Linked DNA regions of Macaca fascicularis. The protein of the gene in region 2 interacts with the protein of the main gene of each other region in a pairwise test. Links are inferred from orthologs where the notes say so. Each region holds a gene or a part of one and is shown on either strand. Other genes may lie near its edges.

Evidence for each region.
Region 1: the proteins of CINP (region 2) and CLUAP1 interact in binary tests that used the Homo sapiens proteins (3 or more experiments, as listed by UniProt). The two-hybrid records come from large-scale screens. The link is inferred for Macaca fascicularis from reciprocal best matches to the Homo sapiens genes CINP and CLUAP1.
Region 3: the proteins of CINP (region 2) and ATRIP interact in binary tests that used the Homo sapiens proteins (3 or more experiments, as listed by UniProt). The link is inferred for Macaca fascicularis from reciprocal best matches to the Homo sapiens genes CINP and ATRIP.

What each region holds. Positions count from the first base shown.
Region 1 is NC_088394.1:4,278,447-4,282,096, reverse strand, and holds part of CLUAP1 (clusterin-associated protein 1), read right to left. Parts: intron 2,213-3,650; coding exon 2,101-2,212; intron 907-2,100; coding exon 822-906; intron 1-821. UniProt on the Homo sapiens protein: Required for cilia biogenesis. Appears to function within the multiple intraflagellar transport complex B (IFT-B). Key regulator of hedgehog signaling.
Region 2 is NC_088381.1:170,470,693-170,474,342, forward strand, and holds part of CINP (cyclin-dependent kinase 2-interacting protein), read right to left. Parts: intron 3,297-3,650; exon of another isoform or gene 3,295-3,296; coding exon 3,126-3,294; intron 2,650-3,125; exon of another isoform or gene 2,546-2,649; intron 1,125-2,545; coding exon of another isoform or gene 1,003-1,124; intron 1-1,002. UniProt on the Homo sapiens protein: Component of the DNA replication complex, which interacts with two kinases, CDK2 and CDC7, thereby providing a functional and physical link between CDK2 and CDC7 during firing of the origins of replication.
Region 3 is NC_088376.1:111,425,257-111,428,906, reverse strand, and holds part of ATRIP (ATR-interacting protein), read right to left. Parts: intron 2,272-3,650; coding exon 2,176-2,271; intron 1,849-2,175; coding exon 1,719-1,848; intron 1,527-1,718; coding exon 837-1,526; intron 1-836. UniProt on the Homo sapiens protein: Required for checkpoint signaling after DNA damage. Required for ATR expression, possibly by stabilizing the protein.

The DNA.
Region 1 (3,650 bases), on a different chromosome or scaffold from region 2:
AGCCACGAAATATGTTACCTATTCAAAAATAAAGAAACAAAATTCTTTTTTTTTTGATGGAGTCTCGCTCTTTTGCCCAGGCTGGAGTGCAGTGGTGTGATCTCAGCTCACTGCAAGCTCCGCCTCCCGGGTTCACACCATTCTCCCACCTCAACCTCCCAAGTAATTGGGACTACAGGCACCCACCACCACACCCAGCTAATTTTTTGTATTTTTAGTGGTTAGCCAGGATGGTCTCAATCTCCTGACCTCGTGATCCGCCTGCTTCAGCCTTCCAAAGTGCTGGGATTACAGGCATGAGCCACCATGCCTGGTATAAACAAAATTCTTAACAAATAATGAATTAAAAGACAAACAAACAAAAAGAACTTCGCTGGTGAAATGGCGCCACAGAAACCCAGCAATGGAATGGTTTTAGAAGGCAAACTCAGGCCAGGCATGTGGTGGCTCACATCTGTAATCCCAACACTTTGGGAGGCCAAGGCAGGTGGATCACGTGAGGATGGGAGTTTGAGACCAGTCTGGCCAACATGGTGAAACCCAGTCTCTACTAAAAACACAAAAATTCGCCAGGTGTGGTGGCGTGTGCCTGTAATCTCAGCTACTCAGGAGGCTGAGACAGGAGAACCCCCCAGGAGGTGGAGGTTGCAGTGAGCCAAGATTGCACCACTGCACTCCAGCCTGGGCGAGAGAATGAGACTCCATCTCAAAAAAAAAAAGAAAGAAAAATTCAATTACTCAGTTTCAAAGTAGCCCTAACGAGGAGTCATCCTTTCTAGTTTACTTAATTTTACAACTCCACAAAATAAGTGTCCACTAACCATGAACTGGGCAATTGCCTTAATGAAGAAAACTCGGTCCTGTTCAGTGTCCACGTCAGGCGGGATGTCAGTCTGGGGCTCATACCTATCAGAGAGATAAGAGGAGAGAGCACAGGTTAACCAAGGAGAAAGTCCACTAAAGAGAATGTGGGCAACTGAGAGGACAGGGGGTCTGGAACAAAGCTCTCCAAGTCCCCAAGTGTGATAGTAAGATCAATGCAAACTTCAAAAGTAAAACCAAAATACCAAGGGAGCAAATCCCCACCTAAGAACAAAAGATTTCAAAAACTAAATGTGGGTCTCAGCTTATAAAATTAAATCTCTCTCAGACCTCAACATATCATGAAACTAATCAGAACTGCTACCCTGGCTGACGGCCCTTGACTCAGAGCAGTACTAGGGCTGATTAGTCAGCTCTAAGCAGCAGCAGAGTTGACGAAGTTATTTTCTTCAAGGTATTGATACCAGGGGTCAGCAGACTGCAGCCTCCAACCTGTACAGCCTCCAAACTAAGAACTCTTTTTACATTTTAATAAAAAGAAGAGGCAATAGAGATCGTATGCAGTCTCTTAATTTTATGTTTAGCAAAGGTAAAATGTTTATTATCTGGTCCTTAACAGAAAAAGCTGCCAACCCTGAATCATATATCATATTCAATTTTTCACAGAAAAAGAAACCTACATTATTTCTAATCAACTGTATTGATTAGAACGTGCAAAAAGGCCCCCCTGTCACTCTGCAGTGAGGGGCTGAAGAGCAGCCTGGCCCAGCACCCTACTGAGGAATAGTCAGTCTCCTTTCACCACTTCCTGGTATATTTCCCTCTCCCACAGCATTTTTTAAACTCCACTGATTTTTTTTTTTTTTTTTTTTTTTGAGACACAGTCTCAATCTGCCCGGGCTGGTGTGCAGTAGCATGATCAGTGGCACTGCAGCCTCAAACTCCCAGGATCAGGTGATCCTCCTGCCTCAGCCTCCTGAGTAGCTGGAACTATGAGTGTGCACCACCCACGCTCAGCTAATTGTTCTTTTGTGTGTGGAGACAGGGTCGTGCTATGTTGACCAGGCTGGTCTCGAATTCCTGAGATTATAAAGTGCTGGGATTATAGGAACGAGCCACTGTGCCCAGCCACAGCTACGTTTCAACAGATTACAATTGGGTCTGTCAAACTCAAACAACTCTTCCTTTTGCAGCGTCACAACTATGTCCTGTTTTCTAGGTGACTAACAAATAAAATCCAGTATTCACTCTTAGACATCAATAAAGTGCAGTTCTAACCTTTTCACAAGCCAGAGAAGCACTTCAGATACAAGTCCAAAATTGGGTGTACGGAAATTTTCCATAGAAATATGTCGAGGGTATCCCAGGGCTCTCATCATCTCTGTGAAATCTGTCCAGGGAAAAATATAATTCATTCAGTTCCCCGTCACATAGCAACTACTTGTTAACTTAGATATTGTCTTTACTTTTCCTTCTTATTGCCAATCTATTAACAGCTTTAGGGATTATCTGTCAACTTTCTACAAGGGAACATAAAAAAGAGATAAAATTTAAAATACCAAAAATGCTACCTAAAAAGCATGTAAGTTCAACAGGAGAAGTAGATGGCTATACATGAAAATAGAATTGAGGGATTAGCTGTGAATTTCATCTCTTTAATATCTCATTTCTTTTTACTGCTAAAAGTAAGAAACACCTGTCCTTAAAAAATGTCATGAAGAAAAAGTATTTTTATCTTTTTCTTTTTTTTTTTTTTTTTGAGACGGAGTCTCGCTCTGTCGCCTAGGCTGGAGTGCAGTGGCCTGATCTCGGCTCACTGCAAGCTCTGCCTCCCGGGTTCACGCCATTCTCCTGCCTCAGCCTCCGGAGTAGCTGGGACTACAGGCGCCCGCCACCACGCCCGGCTAATTTTTTTTGTATTTTTAGTAGAGACGGGGTTTCACTGTGTTCGCCAGGATGGTCTCGATCTCCTGACCTCATGATCCGCCCGCCTTGGCCTCCCAAAGTGCTGGGATTACAGGCGTGAGCCACTGCGCCCGGCCTAGAAAAAGTATTTTTAAATGTCAACAGTGGTCTGACTCAAATTCAGCTGATTAAAAATTATTTTAAAATGTTAACAGTGGTTATTTCTGAGGCGAATCGGTAGGATAACATTCATGTTTCTGAGTTGTCCTTTTTTTTTAAATTTTAGTGAGCATATAGGACCCAAATAACATGTTTCAAAGATCAGTTGCCATGTATTTAGGGAAATCTTAAATACAGTGGTTGAACTACACAACCATGTTTAGATTTATTACAAAACAGATTAAGTAATAGTATTACTAATACTTGTTGATCCATAGGTTGGGGTCACCTCGGGAAAAGCATTAGTGCTTTCAAGAGAGCAAGACTTGGAAATGAACACCACAAACATTGTTGAGCTCCCATGATGTACCAAGATTTACATTCAGTGTGCTTCCTGGTTATTTAAGGTCTGTCTGCACTCTTCTTGAAGATCCATGTTCAAAATGGTCCATCAGTGTTCACAAATAACCTACCCCGGTACTGGAAGTCAGGTCAGACTTCGCAAGACAATGGAAGAAAAAGTGTGAGCACAGGAAACAGCAAAGTCACAAAAGGGACTCTGTAACTGTTTTCTGGGAAATGTGAATATGGAGATTAAAAAAAAAATAGCTGGGTGTGGTGGTGCATGCCTGTGGTCCCAGTTATTCAGCAGGCTGAGGTGTGAGGATCACCTGAGCCCAGGAGGTTGCAGTGAGCTGAGATCATGTGACTGCACTTCAGCCTGGGTAACAGAGTGAGACCCTGTCTCAGAAAGAAAAACAAAA
Region 2 (3,650 bases):
GCTTCACCTTACTGAGTTTCATAGATAATGCATTTTTTACAAATTGAAGGCCTGTGGCAACCCTGTGTATGTATGTACGGCAAATCAACCAGCGCCATTTTTCCCAATAGTATGTGCTTACTTCATGTCTCTGTATCATATTTTGGTAATTCTTACAATACTTCAAACTTTTTCTTTTTTTTTTTTTTTTTGAGACGGAGTCTCACGCTGTTGCCCAGGCTGCAGTGCAGTGGCGCAATCTCGGCTCACTGCAAGCTCCGCCTCCCGGGTTCCCGCCATTCTCCTGCCTCAGCCTCCTGAGTAGCTGGGACTACAGGCGCCCGCCACCGCGCCCGGCTAATTTTTTGTATTTTTAGTAGAGACGGGGTTTCACTGTGGTCTCGATCTCCTGACCTTGTGATCCGCCCGCCTCGGCCTCCCAAAGTGCTGGGATTACAGGCTTGAGCCACCGCGCCCGGCCAACTTTTTCATTATTATATCTACGATCTTTGATTGATAATCTTTGATATTACTAGTTTAATTGTTTTGAGGTGCCATGAACCATGTTCACATGTAACAGCGAGCTTAATGAATGAATGTTGTGTGTTCTGACTGCTCCACTGACTGGCTGCTCCCATTTCTCCCCATCTCCTTGGGCCTCCCTATTTCCTGAAATAGGAGGATATTGAAATCAAGCCAATTAATAGCCCTACATTGGCCACTAAATGTACAAGTGAAAGGAAGAGTTGCATATCTCTCATTTTAAATCAAAAGCTATACTTTGGCCAATTTAAGAAACAAAAAAATTAAAAGCTGGAAATGATCAAGCTTAGTGAGGAAGGCATGTCAAAAGCTGAGATAAGGAGCCAGGTGCGGGGGCTCACGCCTGTAATCCTAGCACTTTGGGAGGCCGAGGCGGGTGGATTGCCTGAGCTCAGGATTTCAAGACCAGCCTGGGCCACATGGTGAAACCCCATTTCTACTAAAATACAAAAGAAATTAGCCGGGCGTGGCAGCATGCACCTGTAGTCCCAGCTACTCGAGAGGCAGAGGCAGGAGAATTGCTTGAACCCAGGAGGCGGAGGTTGCAGTGAGCCAAGATTGCACCATTGCACTCCAGCCTGAGCGACAGAGCGAGACTCCATCTGTACAAAAAAAAAAAAAAAAAGGCTAAGATAAGCCAAAAGCTAGGCCTCTTGTGTCAAACAGTTGGCCAAGTTGTGAAGGCAAAAGAGAAGTTATTGAAGAAAATTAAAGGTGCTACTCCAGTGAACATGTGAATGATGAGTGAAACAGCCTTAGCGTGGATATGGAGAAAGTTTGAGGGGTCTGCACAGAAGAGCAAAACAGACACAGCATTCCCTTAAGTCAAAGCCTAATCCGGAGCAGGACCCTCACTCTCTTCAATTCTGTGAAGGCTGAGAGACATGAGGAAGTTACAGAAGAAAAATTTGAGACTAACAGGATTTGGTTCATGAGGTTTAAGGACAAAAGCCATCTCTATAACATAAAAGTGCAAGGTGAAGCTGCAAGCACTAATGTAGAAGCTGGAGCAAGTTATCCAGAGGATCTACTTAAGATCAATGATGAAGGTAGCTACACGATATGACAGATTGTCAATGTAGATGAAACAGCCTTCTATTAGAAGAACATGTCATCCAAGACATTCACAACTACAGAGAAGTCAATGACAGGCTTCAAAGCTTCAAGAGACAGGTTGACCCTCTCGTTAGGGGATATTGCAGTTAGTGACTTTAAGTTGAATCCAGTGCTCATCTACCATTCTCAAACTCCTAGGGCCCTTAAGAATGATGTTAAATCTACTCTGCCAGTGGAAAAAGCAAGAGAAGCAGAACTAGAAGTGGGGTCTGAAGATGGGACTGAATTGCTGCAATCTCATGAGAAAACTTGAACAGACGAGGAGTTGTTTCTTATGGATGAGCAAAGAAGGTGGTTTCTTGAGATGGAACCTATTCCTGGGAAAGATGCTGTGCACATTGCTGAAATGACAACAAAAGATTGAGAACATTACATAACTTAGTTGATAAACCAGTGGCAGAGTTTGAGAGGTCTAATGTGGGTAAACACTATTAAACAGCAATGAGAAAGAACAGAACCAGAATAGTGGCTCTACATTACATGGATGGCTTCCATGTTGAAAGACAGTGAGACATGGCTGGGTGCAGTGGCTTACACCTATAATCCCAGCACTTAGGGAGGCTGAGGTGGGCGGATCACCTGAGGTCAAGAGCTCGAGACCAACCTGGCCAACATGGTGAAACTCGGTCTCTACAAAAAATACAAAAATTAGCTGAGCTTGGTGGCAGGCACCTGTAATTCCAGCTACTCAGGAGGCTGATGCAGCAGAATTGCTTGAACCTGGGAGGCAGAGGTTGCAGTGAGCTGAGATCGTACCATTGCACTCCAGCCTGGGGGATAGAGTGAGACTCATCTCCAAAAATAAAAATAGAAAAAGAAAGCGAGACATAAAGGAAACACTAACATATGTTTTTTGTTTATGTAAAATCAAAAAATGGACAAAAAGAATCCATGGTAGTTTTTTCCATATCAGCTACATACTGTGTCAACATCATAGCAAAGTTTGAGGAAGGCACAGGTCATACATGAGCATGAAAACCCAATCATCACGCCTATGAACTACAAAAGAATCAAAGAATCTATGGTTTTAAAAATCAGAATAGCCAGGCGTGGTGGCTCACACTTGTAATTCCAGCACTTTGGGAGGCTGAGGAAGGTGGATCATGTGAGGTCAGGAGTTCGAGACCATCCTGACTAACATGGTGAAACCCCGACTCTACTAAAAATACAGTAATTAGCCGGGTGTGGTGACAGGCGCCTGTAATCCCAGCTAGTCCAGAGGCTGAGGCAGGAGAATCACTTGAACCCAGGTGGTGGAGGTTGCAGTTAGCCAAGATTGCGCCATCGCACTCCAGCCTGGGCAACAGAGTGAGACTTCATCTCAAAAAAAAAAAAAAAAAAAAAAAAGGAATATAATTTTGTCTCATGTGTCATCTTACCACTTGCTTTTTTTGCTTAATATTTTATTTTCAAATTTATTCATGTTGATATTTCCCCAGTTATTAAGGGTGAAAAACTTAGAGCATGAAAAACCAATATGTACTTACAATAAACTGATTTTCAAGTTGGCAATATTATTTGCAGCGGTAAAACCTGCATCACTGAGGGTTTCCCACTTCAGGATTAAATTATGCCAATCAGCCGCATTGTCCTTAATTTTTCTTGCACTGACAGATAAGACAGGTTTTCTGGGCGTTACAATTCCAACAGTCTTTGCTGATAGGGTATAAAAGAAACAAAATTATTATCATGGAATATACAATCATAGTTGGAGGGCAAATGTCCTCATAATTTTCAACAGTAAAACTATCTCAAATGCTGTATCAACTGGACAAATAAATGTGGAAACTACAAAGTCTGAATGAATGTGAAGGTTCCTGGAAGAAGACAACATAGAATATTTTTTTTTTTTTTTTTTTTTTTTGAGACGGAGTCTTGCTCTGTCACCCAGGCTGGAGTGCAGTGGCCGGATCTCAGCTCACTGCAAGCTCCGCCTCCCGAGTTTACGCCGTTCTCCTGCCTCAGCCTCCCGAGTAGCTGGGACTACAGGCGCCCGCCACCTCGCCCGGCTA
Region 3 (3,650 bases), on a different chromosome or scaffold from region 2:
TATGATCAGTGTTCATTCGCTAGGTTCACTGTAATACTACTACCCACAAACCATAAGAGGAACATGCCACCCCAGATGCATGCTAAAGATGGGCACAATGACAGGCAGAGACTCCAGCAAGGTCAGCCTGCAGATCCTCCCCACATCCTCTGCTTCCTTAGGGAACCCACTAAACTTCAACGTGCTTGTGATATATGGTCTTCACCTTACCCACATCTCAGGTTCAGAGGCCCCTTGTCTTAGCCCTTGTTCTGGGACAGGGCCCTCCTCCACAGAGGTTAGCAGCCTCCTTTAATCATGTGTGCCTTCTGCTTACCTGTTGTTCAGAGGCAGAATTAAACCAAATAAACGGCCGGGCGCGGTGGCTCAAGCCTGTAATCCCAGCACTTTGGGAGGCCGAGACGGGCGGATCACGAGGTCAGGAGATCGAGACCATCCTGGCTAACACTGTGAAACCCCGTCTCTACTAAAAATATAAAAAACTAGCCGGGCGAGGTGGCGGGCGCCTGTAGTCCCAGCTACTCCGGAGGCTGAGGCAGGAGAATGGCCTAAACCCGGGAGGCGGAGCTTGCAGTGAGCTGAGATCCGGCCACTGCACTCCAGCCCGGGCTACAGAGCAAGACTCCGTCTCAAAAAAAAAAAAAAACCAAATAAACCACTTCCTTGGTTCTCCCATTTGGTCCCACTTCCCATCACTTCAGAACTCCCTGAACCAGGCCTTAGAACTAACTAGTGTAGATAAGTCAAGATGTGAGCAAAGTACAAGAGACACGGGTTAGACCTTAACAGGTCAGGTGAGACCCACAAAGAATCATGACTCCTATGCTGCTTTATACCTGGGCAAGAAATCAGAGGAAGTGTTTTCGGCTAATTTCACCAAAACCTTAAGGCACTGGGTCAGGACACTGGCTTGAAGGTGACCTGTTGCTGCAGAAGAGAAAGCCAACAGGTGAAGAAGCATCTTCAACAGTGGGTGCTGTCCTTGGTCATCAGCAACCCCCCTTGGGGCTGAGGTCATATCTCCATCACTAAACCTGTGAACCAGGCTCCCATTTCCTTCCCCAGCAGCAGAATCTGCCCCAACTCGTGACAGTAATAGGGAGACCACTGCTCCGCTGTGGCACACCAGGTGCTGAAGAATGCTAAGTGCAGTCACAGAGAAGCCTTCCAGGATGCACACTGAGTCCTCAGGGTTGGTCTCTACCCCAGAGCTCACGCGGGAGGAATGTGTCGGTGAGTCCCCAGGTGCTCCACTTCTCTTAGCAGCTGCCAAGTCCTGCAGGGCCTGGCAGTGTAAGCCGATGAAGAACTGTACAAGGGGGAGGAAATGCACGGCTCCAGGAAGCTGGCAGAGTGGGAAGGCCCTTCTGCCTCCCTCTGCTGGGTCTCCATCACGTGAGCACTCATTCCTGGCAACCAGATTCAGTCCAGTGAATGCCAGGTTCTGTGCTTCTCTCAGGGCTGAGAGGGAAAATGACCCATCCTGAGAACCTGTGGTCCTGAGGCCTGACATTCCAGCCAAGGTACTGGCAACAAACACAAAGAAAAATAGGTAAGTGTGGGATGGAGATAAGGTCAAGGGCCCCAAACAGCTTGCCTGCCAAATTCTCCAGGCTCCCTGCCCTTCCCACAGACTTCCCAGGCTGGCTAGGACCAGAAAGGAATTTGCTTCCAGGAAGCTCCTTCCCAAACAAGCTTTCCAGGAGTCTTATGCTTACCTGCCAAACCCTGGTGGCTGCAGGGGGGTGCCAGCAGGAGACTCAGAACTACTACTCAGGAGGTGGCACAGGCTTAGGGATGACCCTGGGATCAAAGGCTGCTTCAGGAGCAGGTTTATCAAAATGGAACCTGTGAAGACAAGGTGACTCTAGAAGGTTCTGACATGGGAGATCTTTTCTGTGGCCTCAGAAGGAAACAGTAAGGACTCTTTGGATGCCAACTGTCCTCTAAGTTGCCACTAAGCCCCAGGTAGATGCCTGTGGGTGCGGAAGGCTCTGGGACATACCTGCCTTTGGCCCTTTCCACTTTATAAAGTCTTCTGCTTAAGCCACATACTTTGACTTCCCTGGACTCCCTGAAGGACTGCCCAGGGCGCCGGTTCTCAGAGGCCTGGGCAATTCTTCTGCATATCACTCAGAGCCATGCAGGCCCCTGCAGAAGCAGGGATTCTGGTACCTTGAGTGTTTGATCTCTGTCTCCAGCTGTCAACAAAGCTTTTCTGGGCCTCTTCTTGTTTTATGGAGTCACCTCTCAGACTGTGGGTCTTACTATCTGAAATGTGATAAAATGTAAATCAAAACTTGAGCACAAAAGCATGGGCATATTAGAAACTTTTACATGCAATGAGTTTAAAACACAGGCTGTTCTACTTCTTCCACCTTGGATCAAACAAGAGCCAAAGCAGCTCAAAAGCCCTGCATTTTTTACCTTTCTTATGTAAAACAGGAACTCATACAAGGAAAGGAAAAGAAAATCAAGCTGTTTGCCTCACTCAAAATGAGGCAATTAGATAAAACAGTAACCACTAACATTGACATGGTGCTTGTTATGTGCTAGACACTGTTCTAAGAGCTTTACACACATCAGCCCATTTGTTCCTCAGTGACCCTACAAGTAGTTATCATTAGCTCTGTTTTACATATAGGGAAACTGAGGCACAGAGACTAAAGGACTTGCCCAAATTACATAAGCCAGTAAGTAGCATTACTGGGACTCACATCCAGGCTATTGGGCTCTACTGCCTGCTTGTAACACTACTGTACACTGCCACTTTAGCTGCTAGATTCCAAAAATGTAAGTGGGCTGCAGTTTCTCAGAAGTGTGTAATGGCCAAGGATTTGAAAGGTTGATGGTAAAAAGAGGGTCAATGTATCTGATTTATAAGATACATTGACATAGCAGTCTGAAAACCTACTGATGTTAGATTGTCTCTCTCAAAAAAACAGCAGCATCCCCTCAACCTGGACTGAGTTATAAAAACTCAAAAGCTGGACTACAAAAGGAAAACAGAGGCTGGGCACGGTGGCTCATGCCTGTAATCCCAGCACTTTGGGAGGCTGAGGTAGGTGGATCATGAGGTCATGAAATTGAGACCATCCACGCCAACATGGTGAAACCCATCTCTACTAAAAATACAGAAATTAGCTGGGCATGGTGGTGTGCACCTAGTCCCAGCTACTCGGGAGGCTGAGGCAGAAGAATCACTTGAACCTGGGAGGCAGAGGTTGCAGTGAGCCGAGATCACGTCACTGCACTCCAGCCTGGTGACAGAGTGAGACTCCACCTCAAAGAAAAAAAAAAAAAAGAAAAGAAAAACAGGTTCCTGCATACTACTGATGGTTTAAAAATATACCCACAACCATGATGGCAGGTGCCTGTAATCCCAGCTACTCGGGAGGCTGAGGCTGGAGAATCACTTGAACCCGGGAGGCAGAAGTTGCAGTGAGTCGAGATCGTGCCATTGCACTCCAGCCTGGGTGGGTGACAGAGTGAGACTCCGTCTCCAAAAAAACAAACAAACAAAAAAAGCCCACAAATGCTTTGACACACCTCCCTTCAAAGGGTATAGCTTGATTTCCCCTCCTTGAGTGAAGCCCAGACTCAGTGATTTGCTTCTAACAAACAGAATGTGGCACAGGTGACGCTGTGTG